Macaca mulatta: one gene and its partners. The protein of the gene in region 1 interacts with the protein of each later gene in a biochemical or structural test. Links are inferred from orthologs where the notes say so. Each region holds a gene or a part of one and is shown on either strand. Other genes may lie near its edges.

What was found.
Region 2: of the proteins of CDC25C (region 1) and PLK3, one has a biochemical effect on the other in vitro, tested with the Homo sapiens proteins (2 studies listed by BioGRID, with this or other methods). The link is inferred for Macaca mulatta from reciprocal best matches to the Homo sapiens genes CDC25C and PLK3.
Region 3: of the proteins of CDC25C (region 1) and CHEK2, one has a biochemical effect on the other in vitro, tested with the Homo sapiens proteins (14 studies listed by BioGRID). The link is inferred for Macaca mulatta from reciprocal best matches to the Homo sapiens genes CDC25C and CHEK2.
Region 4: of the proteins of CDC25C (region 1) and MARK3, one has a biochemical effect on the other in vitro, tested with the Homo sapiens proteins (3 studies listed by BioGRID, with this or other methods). The link is inferred for Macaca mulatta from reciprocal best matches to the Homo sapiens genes CDC25C and MARK3.

What each region holds. Positions count from the first base shown.
Region 1 is NC_133411.1:147,180,834-147,184,333, forward strand, and holds part of CDC25C (M-phase inducer phosphatase 3), read right to left. Parts: intron 2,663-3,500; coding exon 2,510-2,662; intron 1-2,509. UniProt on the Homo sapiens protein: Functions as a dosage-dependent inducer in mitotic control. Tyrosine protein phosphatase required for progression of the cell cycle. When phosphorylated, highly effective in activating G2 cells into prophase.
Region 2 is NC_133406.1:195,835,004-195,839,059, reverse strand, and holds the start of PLK3 (serine/threonine-protein kinase PLK3), read left to right. Parts: upstream 1-1,256; 5' UTR 1,257-1,370; coding exon 1,371-1,463; intron 1,464-1,730; exon of another isoform or gene 1,731-1,823; coding exon of another isoform or gene 1,824-1,865; coding exon 1,866-2,033; intron 2,034-2,199; coding exon 2,200-2,307; intron 2,308-2,395; coding exon 2,396-2,512; intron 2,513-2,665; coding exon 2,666-2,795; intron 2,796-2,884; coding exon 2,885-2,972; intron 2,973-3,801; coding exon 3,802-3,897; intron 3,898-3,996; coding exon 3,997-4,056. UniProt on the Homo sapiens protein: Serine/threonine-protein kinase involved in cell cycle regulation, response to stress and Golgi disassembly. Polo-like kinases act by binding and phosphorylating proteins that are already phosphorylated on a specific motif recognized by the POLO box domains.
Region 3 is NC_133415.1:22,810,395-22,814,555, reverse strand, and holds the start of CHEK2 (serine/threonine-protein kinase Chk2), read right to left. Parts: upstream 2,801-4,161; 5' UTR 2,639-2,800; intron 2,625-2,638; exon of another isoform or gene 2,227-2,624; intron 1-2,226. Other genes in the region: iron-sulfur cluster co-chaperone protein HscB, read left to right, coding at 2,964-3,199. UniProt on the Homo sapiens protein: Serine/threonine-protein kinase which is required for checkpoint-mediated cell cycle arrest, activation of DNA repair and apoptosis in response to the presence of DNA double-strand breaks.
Region 4 is NC_133412.1:176,804,146-176,808,189, reverse strand, and holds the start of MARK3 (MAP/microtubule affinity-regulating kinase 3), read right to left. Parts: upstream 2,801-4,044; 5' UTR 2,641-2,800; exon of another isoform or gene 2,565-2,640; 5' UTR 2,162-2,564; coding exon 2,111-2,161; intron 1-2,110. UniProt on the Homo sapiens protein: Serine/threonine-protein kinase. Involved in the specific phosphorylation of microtubule-associated proteins for MAP2 and MAP4. Phosphorylates the microtubule-associated protein MAPT/TAU. Phosphorylates CDC25C on 'Ser-216'.

The DNA.
Region 1 (3,500 bases):
TCCCCTCTGAGGTCCATAAAAGCCCCAGGCTCAGCCACAACAGGGTAGAGGATGGAGAAAAGATCAGACAGCCAGAAAGGAGAGAGAAGCTATGCTCTCTGCTGAGAGCTGGGAAGTCAACAGGTAGGACCTGCCTGAAGAGAGGAGCCACCCACTCCAGGGCCTCCTCTCTGCTGAGAGCTGAATACCGGATAAGACAAACTGCCTACAGAGAAGAGCTAGCCCCTGTGAGTCTCCTCTGAGCTGTTCTAACACTCAATAGAGCTTCTCTTCGTCTTGCTTACTCTCCACTTGCCTGCGTACCTCGATGCAGGACAAGAACTCAGGCAAAGGCACCACTGGCCACAGAGGTTTCTAGCCAGAAAAGCAACACCCTAAAGATCCCACAACAAAGGCAAGAGGATTGCTGGAGCCCAGGAGTTCCAAACCAGCTTGGGCAACACACCAAGACCCCATCTCTACAAACAATTTTAAAAATTAGCTGGGCATGGTGGTATGCACCTATAGTCCTAGCTACTCAGGAGGCTGAGGTGGGAGGATTGCTTGAGCCCAGGAATTCAACACTGCACTCCAGTCTGGGTGATAGAGCAGAGCAAGACTCTATCTAATTAATTAAATAATTAAAAAAATAAAAGCATGAGGACTAGAATGCAACTGTTCTAACTCCACTATACCATATTGGCCTTGTGAAATGAATAAATTTTAAAGACAAACTCATAGCTCTACCTGTTTCAAAGCAACAAAGTTGATTTAGAAATGCTAAATACAGGCCTGGCATGGTGGCTCACGCCTGTAATCCCAGCACTTTGGGAGGCCAAGGTGTGTGAATCATTTGAGCCCAGGAGTTTGAGACTAGCCTGGGCAATACTGTGAAACCACGTCTCTACAAAAAATACAAAAAATTAGCCAGGTATGGTGGCATGTGCCTATAGTCCCAGCTACTCAGAGGCTGAGGTGGGAGGACTGCCTGAGCCTGGGGAGACCGAGGCTGCAGTGAGCTTTAATTGTGCCACTGTACCCCAGCCTGGGCTACAGAGCAAGACCCTATCTCAAAAAAAAAAAAAAGCTAAATGCCTCAGAAACTATCTTTGGCATATCAGCATATAGGCTATAACCCACATGCTTCAGGTATATCTATCGGTGATATGGGAAAGATAAAAGGAAACAAAAGACTGTATTATAAAATACCTAAAAAGTCATGTTAGGTATATTCTATACATTACTACTATCCTGGAGACATTACTTATACTAGGTTACTTTGATGGTGATCCACTCAAACTATTGACTGGAGCCTGTTCACCAGCAGTAAGAAGATTCCTGTAGTAACCTGATAACCTATCAGTCAGGTAGCCCTCAGTCTAAAGATAGGTTAGGCCAGGCACGGTGGCTCATGCCTGTAATCCCAGCTCTTTGGGAAGCCAAGGCGGGCAGATCACTTGCGGTCAGGAGTTTGAGACCTGTCTGGCCAACATGTCAAAACCCCGTCTCTACTAAAATTACAAAACATTAGCCAGGCATGGTGGCATGCTTTGGGGGGCTGAGGCAAGAGAATTGCTTAAACCTGGGAGACAGAGGTTGCAGTGAGCCAAGATAACACCACTGCACTCCAGCCTAGGTGACACAGCAAGACTCCATTTAAAAAAATAAATAAATAAAGATAGGTTATCACATCTTGTTGATCTCTGTAGCTCCAGCATTTAGTAGAGTGACTCATACGTATTAGGCATAAAATATTGTTTATTCAAGAATGAATTGTTGGCTGGGCATGGTGGCTCACGCTTATAATCCCAGCACTTTGGAAGGCTGAGGCGGGTGGATCACCTGAGACCAGTTCAAGACCAGCCTGGCCAACATGGTGAAACCCTGTCTCTACTAAAAATACTAAAAATTACCCGGGTGTGGCGCTGCGCTACTCTAGTGGCTGAGGCGGGAGAATCGCTTGAACCTGGGAAGAGGAGGTTGCTGTGAGCTAAGATGGCACCACTGCACTCCAGCCTAGGCAACAGAGCGAGAATCTGTCTCAAAAAAAAAAAAGAATGAATTGTTAATTAAACTAAATTTGGCCTGCGGATGCCTCTGTACTTGAGTCTTTACATACCAAGTTGCAACCTAACTTAGTACTTCAACTGAAAGCCTAATTGAGAAGTATACTTTTGTATCAAAAAGCTGAGTCTCAGGAAAGCAGAGCAGCTGAGCTTCAGTCAACCACAATCAATCAACTGTTTAAACCATGTTCAAATGAGGTAAACTCAAGGCTGTAACCAACTGGGCTGTCTCTGTACCTCACTTCTGTTTTCTATACTTCATTTCTATTTTCTGTCCATAATACTGCCTGACCACATGGCAAACTGGAGTTTTACTGAATATGTTCTGGCTATGAGGGATGCTGGATTCACTAGTTATTTTTTTGCTCAAATAAACTCTCCTAAGTTTAATTTGTCTCAAGTTTTTCTTTTAACAGAATGAAGGAATATGAAGAATGCAAAGATACTATCACAGAATACTTTACCTTTGCTTCTTGATCTTCCAGGGAAAACTCCATTAATTCATTTGAAATCTCTTCTGCCTGGTCTTCTCCTAGGTTTGGATTTGTATCCAACTTTGGAGCAGTAATAGGACTGCCCAGATATTTCATTTCACTGTCCACCAATTTTCCGTTGTCCTATCAAGTATATTGACAACATTAAAAACTATTCAAAATATATCAAAGTCCTAAATGTAAGAGCTAAAACTATAAAACTCTTAGAAGAAAACATAAGGGAAAAAATTCATGACATTGGATTTGGATAATGCCACTAAAAGCACAGATAATGAAAGAAAAAAATAGATAAATTAGTCTTCATCAAAATGAAAAACTTTTGTGCATCAAAGAACGCCATTAAGGGATTGAAAAGGCAACCCACAAAATGGGAGAAAATATTTGCAAGTCTTATATTTGATGAGGGATTAATATCAGAATATATAAGGAACTCCTACAACTCAATAACAAACACAATAACAATCAAAAGGGACATGAATAGACATTTCTCCAAAGAAGATACACAAATGGCCCATAAGTACATCAAAAGATGCTCAACATAAGTAATCATTACGGAAATGCATATCAAAATTGCAATGAGATACTACTTTATACCCATTAGGATGGCCATTATAAGAAATAACAAGTGTTTGTGCATTGCTGGTGGGAATGCAAAAGGGTGCAGAGGCACTCTATGGATACTAGCATGCTAGTTCCTCAAAAAATTAAACATAGAATCATCATATAATCAAGCAATTCTACTTATGAATATATACCCAAAAGAATTAAAAACAGGGGCCAGGCGCGGCAGCTCACACTTGTAATCCCAGTACTTTGGGATTACAAGCCGAGGCGGGCGGATTACGAGGTCAGGAGTTCAAGAGCAGCCTGGCCAACATGTTGAAACCCCATCTCTACTAAAAATACAAAAATTAGCCGGGTATGGTAGTATGTGCTTGTAATCCCAGCTACTTGGGAGGCT
Region 2 (4,056 bases), on another chromosome or scaffold:
TTGTCTGTTTCCATCAAGCAGAATGTAAACTAAATGAGGGCTGCAAGCTTGATTAGTTTTATTTGAGATAGTGTCCAGCACTTAGCAGATGCTCTCAATAAATCTTTTGAGGAATGGCATGGTAATTGATTGGCTGGTGCAGAGGGTGGGCAGAGAGGTGAGAGACAAGGCTAGGAGACCTGTGGTCTTGGGCCTCTGTCTCGGGCATTGCGCAGGGGTCTAGGGGTCCACATGGTCCAGAGACTAGCTGCCCAATTGCCCGTGTCTAGCATTTGAGAAAATCCAATTCCCGGCCAGGCGCGGTGGCTCACGCCTGTAATCCCAACACTTTGGGAGGCTGAAGTGGGCAGATCACCTGAGTCTGGGAGTTCCAGATCAGTCTGACCAACGTGGAGAAACCCTATCTCTACTTAAAAAAAAAAAAATACAAAATTAGCCGGGTGTGATGGCGCACGCCTGTAATCCCAGCTGCTTGGGAGGCTGAGGCAGGAGAATCGCTTGAACTTGGAAGGCAGAGTTTGGGGTGAGTCAAGATCGCGCCATTGCACTCCAGCCTGGGCAACAAGAGCGAAACTCTGTCTCAAAAAAAAAAAAAAAAAAAAAAAAAAAAAAAAAAAAAAAAAAAAAGGGCCGGGCGCGGTGGCTCACGCCTGTAATCCCAGCACTTTGGGAGGCCGAGGCGGGCGGATCACGAGGTCAGGAGATCGAGATCATCCTGGCAAACACGATGAAACCCCATCTCTACTATACTAAAAATACAAAAAAAATTAGCCGGGCGTGGTGGCGGGCACCCTGTAGTCCCAGCTTCTAGGGTGGCTGAGCCAGGAGAATGGTGTGAACCTGGGAGGCGGCAGAGCTTGCAGTGAGCGGAGATTGCGCCACTGCACTCCAACCTGGGCGACACAGTGAGACTCCGTCTCAAAAAAAAAAAAAAAAAGAAAAAAGAAAATCCAATTCCCATTCACTTTCTGGCCTTCTGGCTGCTGACCCAGGCCCGCGGGTATTTTCAGAGGAAGGGAATTGGGGACCCCGCAGGAACCCGAAATCTGCCCCTCAAGAGTGTAGAAGTGGGTAGCGGAAGATGTGGCCTGGAGCATGGTAAAAGGGTCCAGTCTCTGCTTGACTGGACTCCTAAACCTGGCAAGGCAGCCCTCAGGCCAGGCAAGCCAGGCGCGAGACTGTGCCTTCCTTCCAGGCCCTAAAGAGGGCAGCACTGGGCCGGGCCCCGGGCGAGGGGGAGGGACACACGCGGTCCGGCACACTGAAAGGGGAGTGTCGGGTGACACGCCTGGGGAAAAGCGAGCGCCGCCCCTGCCTCTCAGCTGCTGGCTGGAACGCTGATCTATCTAGTTGCTGGGGGACGCCCCCAGATGCCCGGGCCCCACTCGGACTTCAGCACACGCCCCGAAGGATGGGGAAAGAAAGAGGCCCCCATGAGCGGGACTCGCAGTGGCCAAGGAGGGGTGAGAAGCGGACAGGGATCAGCTGGCCCCGGCGGCCTGGTCGCACCTGCATGGTGACTAGCTGCCGGGCTGCGCCCCGGGGCGCAGCCAGGAGGCGGGGCCTGGCAGTGCGTTGGGGGGGGGAGGAGCTTCTGGGTGATGTAAGGCCGGGCATGGGAGGGGCCTCTCCTCGACTCGCTGCCAGGAAGGGGGCGGGACTCTTGGTGACGAGACGCCGGGGAGGGGGCAGGCGTTCATTGATAAAAACGCTGGGCTCCCCCGGGCGCGAGCGCAGCGTAGCAAATACAGGCAGCGCCACGCGCGGCCGGGGCCGGGCGGAACCGAGAAGAAGCCGGGCCCGCGCTGCGACGCGCCGCCCGCATGGAGCCCGCCACTGGTTTCCTGTCCCCGCGCCCCTTCCAGCGTGCGGCCGCCGAGCCCGCTCCCCCGGCCGGGCCCGGGCCGCCTCCGAGTGCCTTGCCCGGACCTGAGCTGGAGATGCTGGCCGGGCTACCGACGTCAGACCCCGGGCGCCTCATCACGGACCCGCGCAGTGGCCGCACCTACTTCAAAGGCCGCTTGTTGGGCAAGGTGGGCCGGGGGACGTCCGCGGGGTGGTGATGGTGGAGGTGGGGGTCTCGGCCGGCCTCATTTCTGGCACCAAGCCGGGCGTGGCCACTTGACCCCCAACGCGGGGACGCCCGCGGGCCAGAGTCGGCCCCCCTGGAACACCCAGCCTGACGCCCCCTCTTCACAGGGGGGCTTCGCCCGCTGCTACGAGGCCACTGACACAGAGACTGGCAGCGCCTACGCTGTCAAAGTCATCCCGCAGAGCCGCGTCGCCAAGCCGCATCAGCGCGAGAAGGTAGGTCCAGGCTCAGCGGGCGAGGGGTGGGGTGGGGACGGTGGCATGGGAACCATGGAAGGATGACGACCCTGCGCCCTCATCGCAGATCCTAAATGAGATTGAGCTGCACCGAGACCTGCAGCACCGCCACATCGTGCGTTTTTCGCACCACTTTGAGGACGCTGACAACATCTACATTTTCCTGGAGCTCTGCAGTCGAAAGGTGAAAGATGGTGATACCCGCAGGGATGAGGGTGAAGGAGAGAAGAGAGTCTTAAGACCCAAAGCTCGGGCCTTGTTTCTTCCTCTGGGAGCACAGATGGAGGGGAAGGGGGAGGGAGGGCTCACCAGGGGCTGAGGCAGTGGCTCTTTGCAGTCCCTGGCCCACATCTGGAAGGCCCGGCACACCCTGTTGGAGCCAGAAGTGCGCTACTACCTGCGGCAGATTCTTTCCGGCCTCAAGTACTTGCACCAGCGCGGCATCTTGCACCGGGACCTCAAGTTGGGTGAGACTCCTGAGCCTGGAGGATGGGAGGTTGGGGAGGGAGGGAGGAAGGAAGGAAAGAATCTGACACACCTCTCTTTCCCCATCTAGGAAATTTTTTCATCACTGAGAACATGGAACTGAAGGTGGGGGATTTTGGGCTGGCAGCCCGGTTGGAGCCTCCGGAGCAGAGGAAGAAGTGAGTTTTGAAGAAAGGAGCCTGTGTGTGATACAGATGACATGCGTGACAGACAGTGCATATGTATGTGGGAGGCAAGGTGACTGCTTGATGTGTGCATGAGATAAATGGGAAGGGATGAGGGGCTGTTTATGCATGTGTGAAGGTGGAGGTGGCAGCCTGTGTTACCGGGACCAGTGGAGAGGGGTAGAATCCTATAGGTGTGTGACACAGATAGGGTAGGTGACCCTGAGTCCCTGAGACAGATAGGGGTGTACAGATTCTTGGAGGCATATGACTTACCCTTCGTGTGGATAGGGGAAGGTTACAGGCAGCGTGTGTGTGTGTTTGTGTGTGAGAGACAGACTGAGAGTGTGGGAATGGTAGGATATGACACTGGGTGTAAGAAGACCCTGCTGTGGCCATCGTACTTTGTGTGTGTGACACAGACAGCATATGTGGCAGATAAGTGTTTATGGGGGTTGTGACAGCTGGTGTTGGTGTGTGTGTGGCACAAACCATGGGAGGTGACAGCCTGATGACTGTCTGAGAGACAGGAGTGAGGAAGGGGGAAGGGATCAGCTGTGGACTCTCTGTGTTGACCCTGGAGGAGGGGACTGGGCTGGGGGTCAGGCCCTCCCCCTGTCATGAAGAGCAGCTGAGCAGCTGGGCCAGGCGGGTGGGCGGGGACTCAGCTGCCATCCCTGGCATCCATTGTCCCAGGACAAGCAGGAGTTCTCTGGCCTTTGGTGACAGGCAGCTGCTTTGTCTGGACTCACAGTGGGGGAAGGGGTGGGGGGGCTGCTGGGCTGGGTCTCAGCCTTTTCTCCTCCTCCCCACCCTCTTTCAGGACCATCTGTGGCACCCCCAACTATGTGGCTCCAGAAGTGCTACTGAGACAGGGCCATGGGCCCGAGGCGGATGTGTGGTCACTGGGCTGTGTCATGTGAGTCGCAGGGTCCAGGTTCGGCAGCAGACAGGTGGTGGGTGTGTGGGTGGGGTATCCCCTCCACTTTACTCCTGACCCCTTGGCCCTGCCCTATAGGTACACGCTGCTCTGCGGGAGCCCTCCCTTTGAGACAGCTGACCTGAAGGAGACGTACCG
Region 3 (4,161 bases), on another chromosome or scaffold:
CGGGCAGATCACTTGAGGTCAGGAGTTTGAGACCAGCCTGGCCAACATGGTGAAACCCTGTCTCCACTAAAAATATGAAAATTAGCTGGGCATGGTGGCAGGTGTCTATAATCCCAGCTACTTGGGAGGCTGAGGCAGGAGAATCGCTTGAACCTGGGAGGCAGAGAATGCAGTGAGTCAAAATCGCACCACTGCATTCCAGCCTAGGCGACAGAGTAAGACTCTGTCTCAAACAAACAAACAAACAAACAAACCTACAATGAGATACCATCTCACCCCAGTTAAAATGGTTTGAATAAAAGACAGGCAATAACAGATGCTGGGAAGAATGTGGAGAAAGGGGAACTGTACAGAGTGCTCTTGACATAAGTAATTTTATCTTAGAAAAAGGCTCTTGTGGCCGGGCGCGGTGGCTCAAGCCTGTAATCCCAGCACTTTGGGAGGCCGAGGCGGGTGGATCACGAGGTCAGGAGATCGAGACTATCCTGGCTAACACGGTGAAACCCCGTCTCTACTAAAAATACAAAAAACTAGCCGGGCGTGGTGGCGGGCGCCTGTAGTCTCAGCTACTCGGGAGGCTGAGGCGGGAGAATGGCGTGAACCCGGGAGGCGGAACTTGCAGTGAGCCGAGATCACGCCACTGCACTCCAGCCTGGGAGACACAGCGAGACTCCGTCTCAAAAAAAAAAAAAAAAAAAAAAAAAAAAAAGGCTCTTGTATTTTAAAAGGCATTATGCCAATAGGGACCAGATGTTTGTCTAATTAATAAAGACTGTACTGGCCAGGCACAGTGGTTCACGCCTGTAATCCCAGCACTTTGGGAGGCCAAGGCAGACGGATCACAAAGTCAGGAGATCAAGACCATCCTGGCCATCATGGTGAAACCCCGACTCTACTAAAAATACAAAACTTAGCTGGGCGTGGTGTCACGTGCCTGTAATCCCAGCTACTTGGGAGGCTGAGGCAGGAGAATCGCTTGAACCAGGGAGTCTGAAGTTGCAGTGATCCGAGATCACGCCACTGCACTCTAGCCTGCGAGAGACAAAGCGAGACTCTGTCTCAAAAAAAAAAACAAAAAAAGACGGTACTAAACCAGATAAGGACATAAACATGTACACGCTTTTGTTATTAGTCCTTACCAGAAAATTTTGTGGTCATAAGACCAGGACTTTATTAGGTCAGAATGGCTGTCCTAACAGACACCATCTTGCTGTCACTCACGATTAACACCCAGCATCTGCCACCAAAGGCTCATCCACATCAAAAACTCTTCCTTACAAGACACTGACACCCCAGATCAAGCCAAAACACTCTCTTTGTCCACATTGCTCTCCTTGGACTGGTTTGATAACCGCTTTCCCTATCCCCTTTTCTCTGAATGTTAAATGTTACTTTAATGTAAGATTTTTAACCTATAACATTTATATATTAAATAACTATACTATTGTGTATAATTTACAATGCTGACTGACTTGTGGAATGGCTTCAGCCTGTGTGCCCATGGTTCTGACTACCAAGTAAACAGGTAGTACTACAGAAAATTGCTTCCTTGGGAACTCCATGTAGCTCGTGGCTTTTACAATTAAAATAAAACATCAGTAAGTCTGATCTTGTGGAAAAACACAAATGTTCACGGACCTAGTTATGTCTGACCTTGCCCTGTTCACATACACCATTGGTGGGAATGCAAATTAGTATAGCCACTAATCACAAAAGTATTGTGATTCCTCAAAAAACTGAAATTAGGCTGGGTGCAGTGGCTCACACCTGTAATCCCAGCACTTTGGGAGGCCAAGGCGGGTGGATCACCTGAGGTCAGGAGTTCAAGACCAGCCTGGCCAACATGGTAAAACCCCATCTCTACTAAAAATACTAGCCGGGCATGGTGGCGGGCACCTATAATCCTAGATACTTTGGAGGCTGAGGCAGGAGAACCGCTTGAACCCAGGAGGCAGAAGTTGCAGTGAGCCCAGATCGCGCCACTGCACTCCAGCCTGGCAACAGAGAGAGACTCCGTCTCAAAAAAAAAAAAAAAAAGGTACATATGTGGTACTCATACATGTATACTTTATATCAAAAATAAATAATTTTTTTAAAAAAGTCCAGAAGGCTTTCAAGTGAAACACAATCTTTTTTTTCAAGTAGAAAACCTAAGTCCGAAGGAGGACTGATTCCCTCCTACCCACTCCTGGCCACCCTATCCCATACACTTACTTAGGGACTTACTTAGGGACACGCAGAACATCCTCCTACACAGCTCAGTGCGTTTCCAGTTCCTGCAGCGCCCAGTAGCTAAGACTGGCCTCTCTATAAGTATTTTAGAGATTGAATCTAAAGAATGGCAATGATTACTAACATCTATAGAACTTTTTACAAAGTAACTTCGCTCTGATATTGAAGAACACAACTCTGTTCCTTCTTATCCTGTCCGTTCAGGCCTGTTTCAGCTTGTAAGTAATACGGGAAGTGAACTTCACCTCGAGGATGATCTACTAAAAAGGAAGAGAGTCGCCCACACACTCCCCCTTCAGTACAAAAATACAGACAAAGCGAAGCTCAGGAGACTCCGCTCGCACGAAACGCTGAAGATGGGATTCGAACCACCAAACACCCAACAGAAGTTCCCAATATGACTCACCGCGTGAGCCCACCTGGAGCCGCACACTCTCCACAGCCTCAGCCTGCAGTGGCGCTAAACCTGCAGATACAAACTCCACCCTCAGCCAATCAAAACCCTCTCCCCTGCCGCCGGACCAATGAGGAGCAGCAGATGTGGCCGTCAGGCATCGCCTCAATGCTTCCTGGGAGTTGTAGTTTAGAAGGCAGAGCGGAACTTAGAACTCGGGTTCCCCTCGGGTGATCCCGCCCCCTCGACTCCCCAGCCAATCAGCAGCATTAGTCTGGTTGGACGCTCTCTTTGCTTTTCCCCACGGGTGACCACGGCTAGCTAGGCCGCCGGCGAGATGTGGCGGGGGAGAGTCGGGGCTTTGCTCCGGGTGTGGGGGTTTTGGCCGACAGGGGGTCCCAGAAGGAGACTGCTAAGCTGCGATGCTGCGTCGCAGGCGGAAAGCAATTCTCCCCACTGCTGGAACTGCGGCGGCCCATGGGGCCCCGGGCGGGAGGACAGGTTCTTCTGCCCACAGTGCAGAGCGCTGCAGGCACCTGACCCCACTCGAGACTACTTCAGCCTTATGGACTGGTACGAGCGACTGTTTCGGGAAACGGGCCCGGGCGAGAGAGACGTCGGGGTCTGGCCTGCGAGAGGGGAGGACGGATCTGGCTTGCGGAAGAGAAGGCGGGACCGATAGGGGGGCGGAGGTCTAGAGAGCAGGCGTGAGAGAAGTGTCTTGATTTCTCAGGAGGAAATTGAGAGGCGGGGACTGAGGGAAGCAGCGTTGAGGTGTGGAGAAGGGAGACGAACGAGACTGGAGGGGCGGGCGCTGAAGTTAGAGGAAATAGGGGGGCCGAGGCTAGAGGGGAGGGAAATTTGAGGGGCGGTACCTACGGGAAAGGGAAGGAGAAGTCGAGGGGCGGAGCTTGAGGAAGGGGTACTTGAGGGGCAGGGCCCGGGAGACTGGAAGAGTTGGTTTGATGTATTTAAGAAAGGACTGCAGAAGTGTAGTCCGAAATTGGGGAGTAAAGCATGAAAATCTTAATATTGTAGGCGAGACCTGAGGGAAAAGTGAGAATTCGAGGGAAAGGGTCCAATAAATAGTTTTTTCCCCTGAGGCTGACGATCTTGGAGAGATGGGGCAGTGTGGATAGAGCTGAACTGATAAGGAAATAGGACAGACTCTGGGAGTAGAGTGTGAACGGGGTTGAATTAAAATAAACCGGGAGACAGGGATGAAGGGACCTGGGCTGTGGAAAAGATAGGGTGGTATTAAAGAAAACGTTATTCAGTCACACTTGTTCAAACACCAGAAAGACTTTATTCAAGATCATCTTGGCCGGGCGCGGTGGCTCACGCCTGTAATCCCAGCACTTTGGGAGGCCGAGGCGGGCGGATCACAAGGTCAGAAGATCGAGACCACGGTGAAACCCTGTCTCTACTAAAAATACAAAAAATTAGCCGGCCGCGGTGGCGGGCGCCTGTAGTCCCAGCTACTCCGGAGGCTGAGGCAGGAGAATGGCGTGAACCCAGGAGGCGGAGCTTGCAGT
Region 4 (4,044 bases), on another chromosome or scaffold:
GTGATACCAGCACTTTGGGAGGCCGAAGCGGGCGGATCACCTGAGGTCAGATTGAGACCAGCATGACAAACATGGAGAAACCTCTTCTCTACTAAAAATACAAAATTAGCCCGGAGTGGTGGCGCATGCCTGTAATCCTAGCTACTCAGGAGGCTGAGGCAGGAGAATCACTTGAACCTGGGAGGTGGAAGTTGCAGTGAGCCGAGATCGTGTCACAGCACTCCAGTCTGAGAGACAGAGCCAGACTCCATCTCAAAAAAGAAAGAGAGAAAGAAGACCCATTTGAAATCCTTCATTATCACAAATCTGCTATGACTGTTTTTGGCTTCAGTTTAGAAAGCATGGAGCTCCTACTCTGGTTCAACGTAAAGTTTTGCTTCTCTGAGTGAATATCAATGATCAAAACTAATCAGTTGGGCACACTGGCTCACGCCTGTAATATCAGCACTTTGAGGGGCCGAGGCGGGTGGATCACATGAGGCCAAGAGTTCTAGACCAGCCTGGCCAACATGGTGAAACCCTGTCTACTAAAAATACAAAAATGCAAGCCAGGCGTGGTGGTGCATGCCTGTAATCTCAGCTACTCGGGAGGCTGAGGCATGATAATCACTTCAGCCTGGGAGGCGAAGGCTGCAGTGAGCCAAGATCGCACCACCACACTCCAGCCTGGGAGACAGTCAGCCTGGGAGACAGTCTCGGTCTGTCTCAAAAAAAAAAAAACAAAAAAAGGTTTCTTTAAAAGGACCATAAGAAAATAGTTCCCTGACTCACCTAGTCTAAGAGTTTCTATTACTCGCTCTTTATATAATTTTCTAATCTCTCTCAGGTGGAGAAAGGTACACCACTGTTCTACTCACTAAGGGCTAAAGAGCATTAAATATTATACACTAATATGCTACAGGGATGTTTTAGGCTATGGTTTTACGTTTACAGATTAAATTATCAAATAGCTATCCAGCAAACAAGTGGCATTTTTGAAGATCAAAATTAAAACATTGACACCACTAGGCCATAACATCTCAGGACATTACTGAAAGCATGAAAACACTCAAAGCAAGGAAGCATTCCCTAAGAGAAGACATTTCGTGCCAGCAATTACCTCATAACACTTTTAATGAAAGGCCAGTGAAGTTTCTTTACAAGTTATTTACTAGACGTTTTACAGAATATAGGAAACAACTAGATTGAAACACTTTTGAAGCCAGTGTTAGAGGAGAGTTCAGAAAACGAACAGAGTTTGTCAAACGTTTCTTCAATGGCATTTCTACTACAAGTTCTCATTCTCTAGCAATGCTGTTCCTGGCATTTTGTAGTTTCACATGCACAAAATCAAAGGTTCCTTTTATAAAATCATAGCCTGTGAGCGCTGAAACGGACCTAAGAGCTCATCTAAGTCAACCTCTTTTTAGGAAGGAGGACAGCGAAGCCCCAGCGGGTGTCCCTCAGCTAGGCAGTGAGTGGCAGAGCACAACTTCACTATACATCTGCTTTTCTGCTTTTTAAAATGTTTAACTCCTTCAAAAAAGATTTGTATGGAAAGGAACCTATGCCTTAATAAAGGCTGCGCGCTAGTGTTTTGGAATTCCTAAGGGGACCGCAAAGATCCCTCAGTAGACACTTAGTGACTGTGATTAAATTTAGTTCCATCTTAAAAGAACGAGACAGCCCACTTGACTCAATCGATTACTCTTAATCAGCACCAGTACATATGGTATTAATATGATAGTCTCTCAAGAAATGCCTGACCAAGTTAAAAGCAGAGTTCGGTTAAAATAAGCACTGACCACTGCAGTGATCTGACACGCACACTTGCACAATCCATTGAGCGGCAACCCGGCCTCTCAAAGCACCGATTCGTAACGATGCAACTTATGGGCTTTACTAATCGACTAGACTGCAGGCATAATCGATATACTTCGTGGACCCGCCCGCGGGACAGGGCGGACTTCTGGAGGAAACGGTCCGACCTGGCTGCCTCTTGGGTGACTACGGCCTGCCCTCTATTTCCAGAGCGTTCGGGCTGGGGGGGAACACCCGACTGCAAGGCACTGCCCGAGGAGCACGAAGGCCACCCCGAAGGTCCGCCAACTACAACGCCCAGGTTACTTACGTTTTCAGTGTCTCGTTCATTCACCGTTGGCAATGGGGTCCTAGTGGACATTTTACTGCACTTTAATTCTGCACAATGCGAGGGCGAAAACAAAACAGCACAGCCCTAGGAGGCCGGCGACCAGCGTCCTCGAGTCCACGGCAGTTTCGAAGCGGCGCCGTGGGGAAGGCGGCTCCCTTCCCTCTACGGCCGTCTAGATCCCGGGCCTGGCCCGGGCCGTCCCCCGGCGGGTCCCGGGGCTCATTCTCTCCCTGCCCCGGCGGCCGAGGCGAGGAGCCCGGGAGGGCGGCAGTGGCGGAGCCGAGCCTGCGGCGAGCTGCCGGCTTCGGCCCGCCGGCGTCCCCTCGCCTCAGGGCGCCCCGCGATCCCGGGCCCCCTCGCCTCCTTCTCCACTCCCGCCCGTCGCGCCGCGAATTTCAGCTCCCGGGCCTCCACACAGCGCCGCCGGCGGCGTCTGAAAAAGAGGAGGCGGAGGAGGATGTGAAGGAAGTGGAGCGCAAGACAGGCCGCCGCGGGCTGTGGGCGCTGACCATGGAGCGGGCTGCGGAGGAGGCGCCTGCGCCCGGCTGCTTCTCCCTCTCTAGCGAGCTTGCTGCCTCAGCCTCCGCCCTGCTGGCCGCCGCTGCTGCCGCCGCACCCCGGCACCTCGGAGCCTCACGGACCCAAGATGGCCGCTCCTCGGCTTCCTCTGCTGCCTCCGGCTGCCGGAAGTGACGACAGGCCGCCTCCCGGAGTCCCGCCAATCAGCGTGGCCTGAGAAAGCCGGCCCGGCTGTTGTTGCTAGGGGCGACTTGGCCCAGACCCCGCCGCGGGGGCGGTGAAGAGGGCGGGGAAGCGCTGGCCGGGTCTCCACTGACTACCGCGGGCGGCGGGTTCCTCCTGTACGGAGCGCTCCGGCAACCCCGAAAGAGCCGAGAAACGGCCCTGGGCGACAGCCAGAGCCCTCCCGCTGAGTTGGCATTTACAGACTACAGGCCTGGGTTGGCTGGATTACAGATCGAGAGCCTACTGTGCACAAAAGTTGCGGTTGCATCCTTCGGACTGCGCTGCACCGACTGGAGCCCCAGCATTAATGACAGGGCCGGGGCTACGGGAAGGAGCCGGGCTCTTGCATCCTTAACTGTGACCCGGGCGTCAGGCTCTCGCCCACAAACCTTCCCGTCTCCGGATCTGAGCAGCTGCGGGCTGGGCCGGACTCCGAGGGCAGCAGGAGCCTCTTGCCCTCAAGGAGCTGGTGGTCAGGCGGGTGACAGACCTGGACCCAGCTAAATGCCATCCGGATGGAAGAGTGCAATAACGAGGGTGGCACAAAGGGGATGGAGTCGGGGGCGAAATGAATCTGTAGAGGCCCCCAGGGACCAGTTCCTAAATGCCTGTGCGGAATTTATAAGCAGAGTTTTCTTACAGTCAGTGCGTCGCTGCTGGAGACTGGAAGCATCTTTGGGTGCCAGCCTCGGGCCAGACTCGGTAGACGCCTGCAGGCGGGAACCCTGGAAATGCTACCTGACCTAGAAACCTTCCTTGCCCATTCACCTCTTCACGTGTTCGGTGCCTCTACTCAGCTCCTGGCCAGCGGTGGATGGAATCCATGGGTGCAGGGTCCGAAGAGGGAGAGTAGTGTGGGATGGGGGTGACACTAACTGTTACCGAGAGTCAAGTCTACCTTGTAGGTTCATGACATTTGTTACCTCATTTAGCCTCAGGGTAACCCTGTGAGATGGACAGACACACATGCGATCCGAAGTCTAGACAGGTACAGTGACTTGGCTAAAGTACACAGGTTGGTTAGCGACAGAGCTGGGATTCTAACCTAGTTCCCAAAGCTTGGATAATAGGTAAGCCCTTGTAGTGGGTGGCTATGTCATGCTTGCTTCCCCTTTGATCCGTTGGCATCCCAACTGTCTTGCGATGTTTGAGACCTTTCTTGCTCCAGG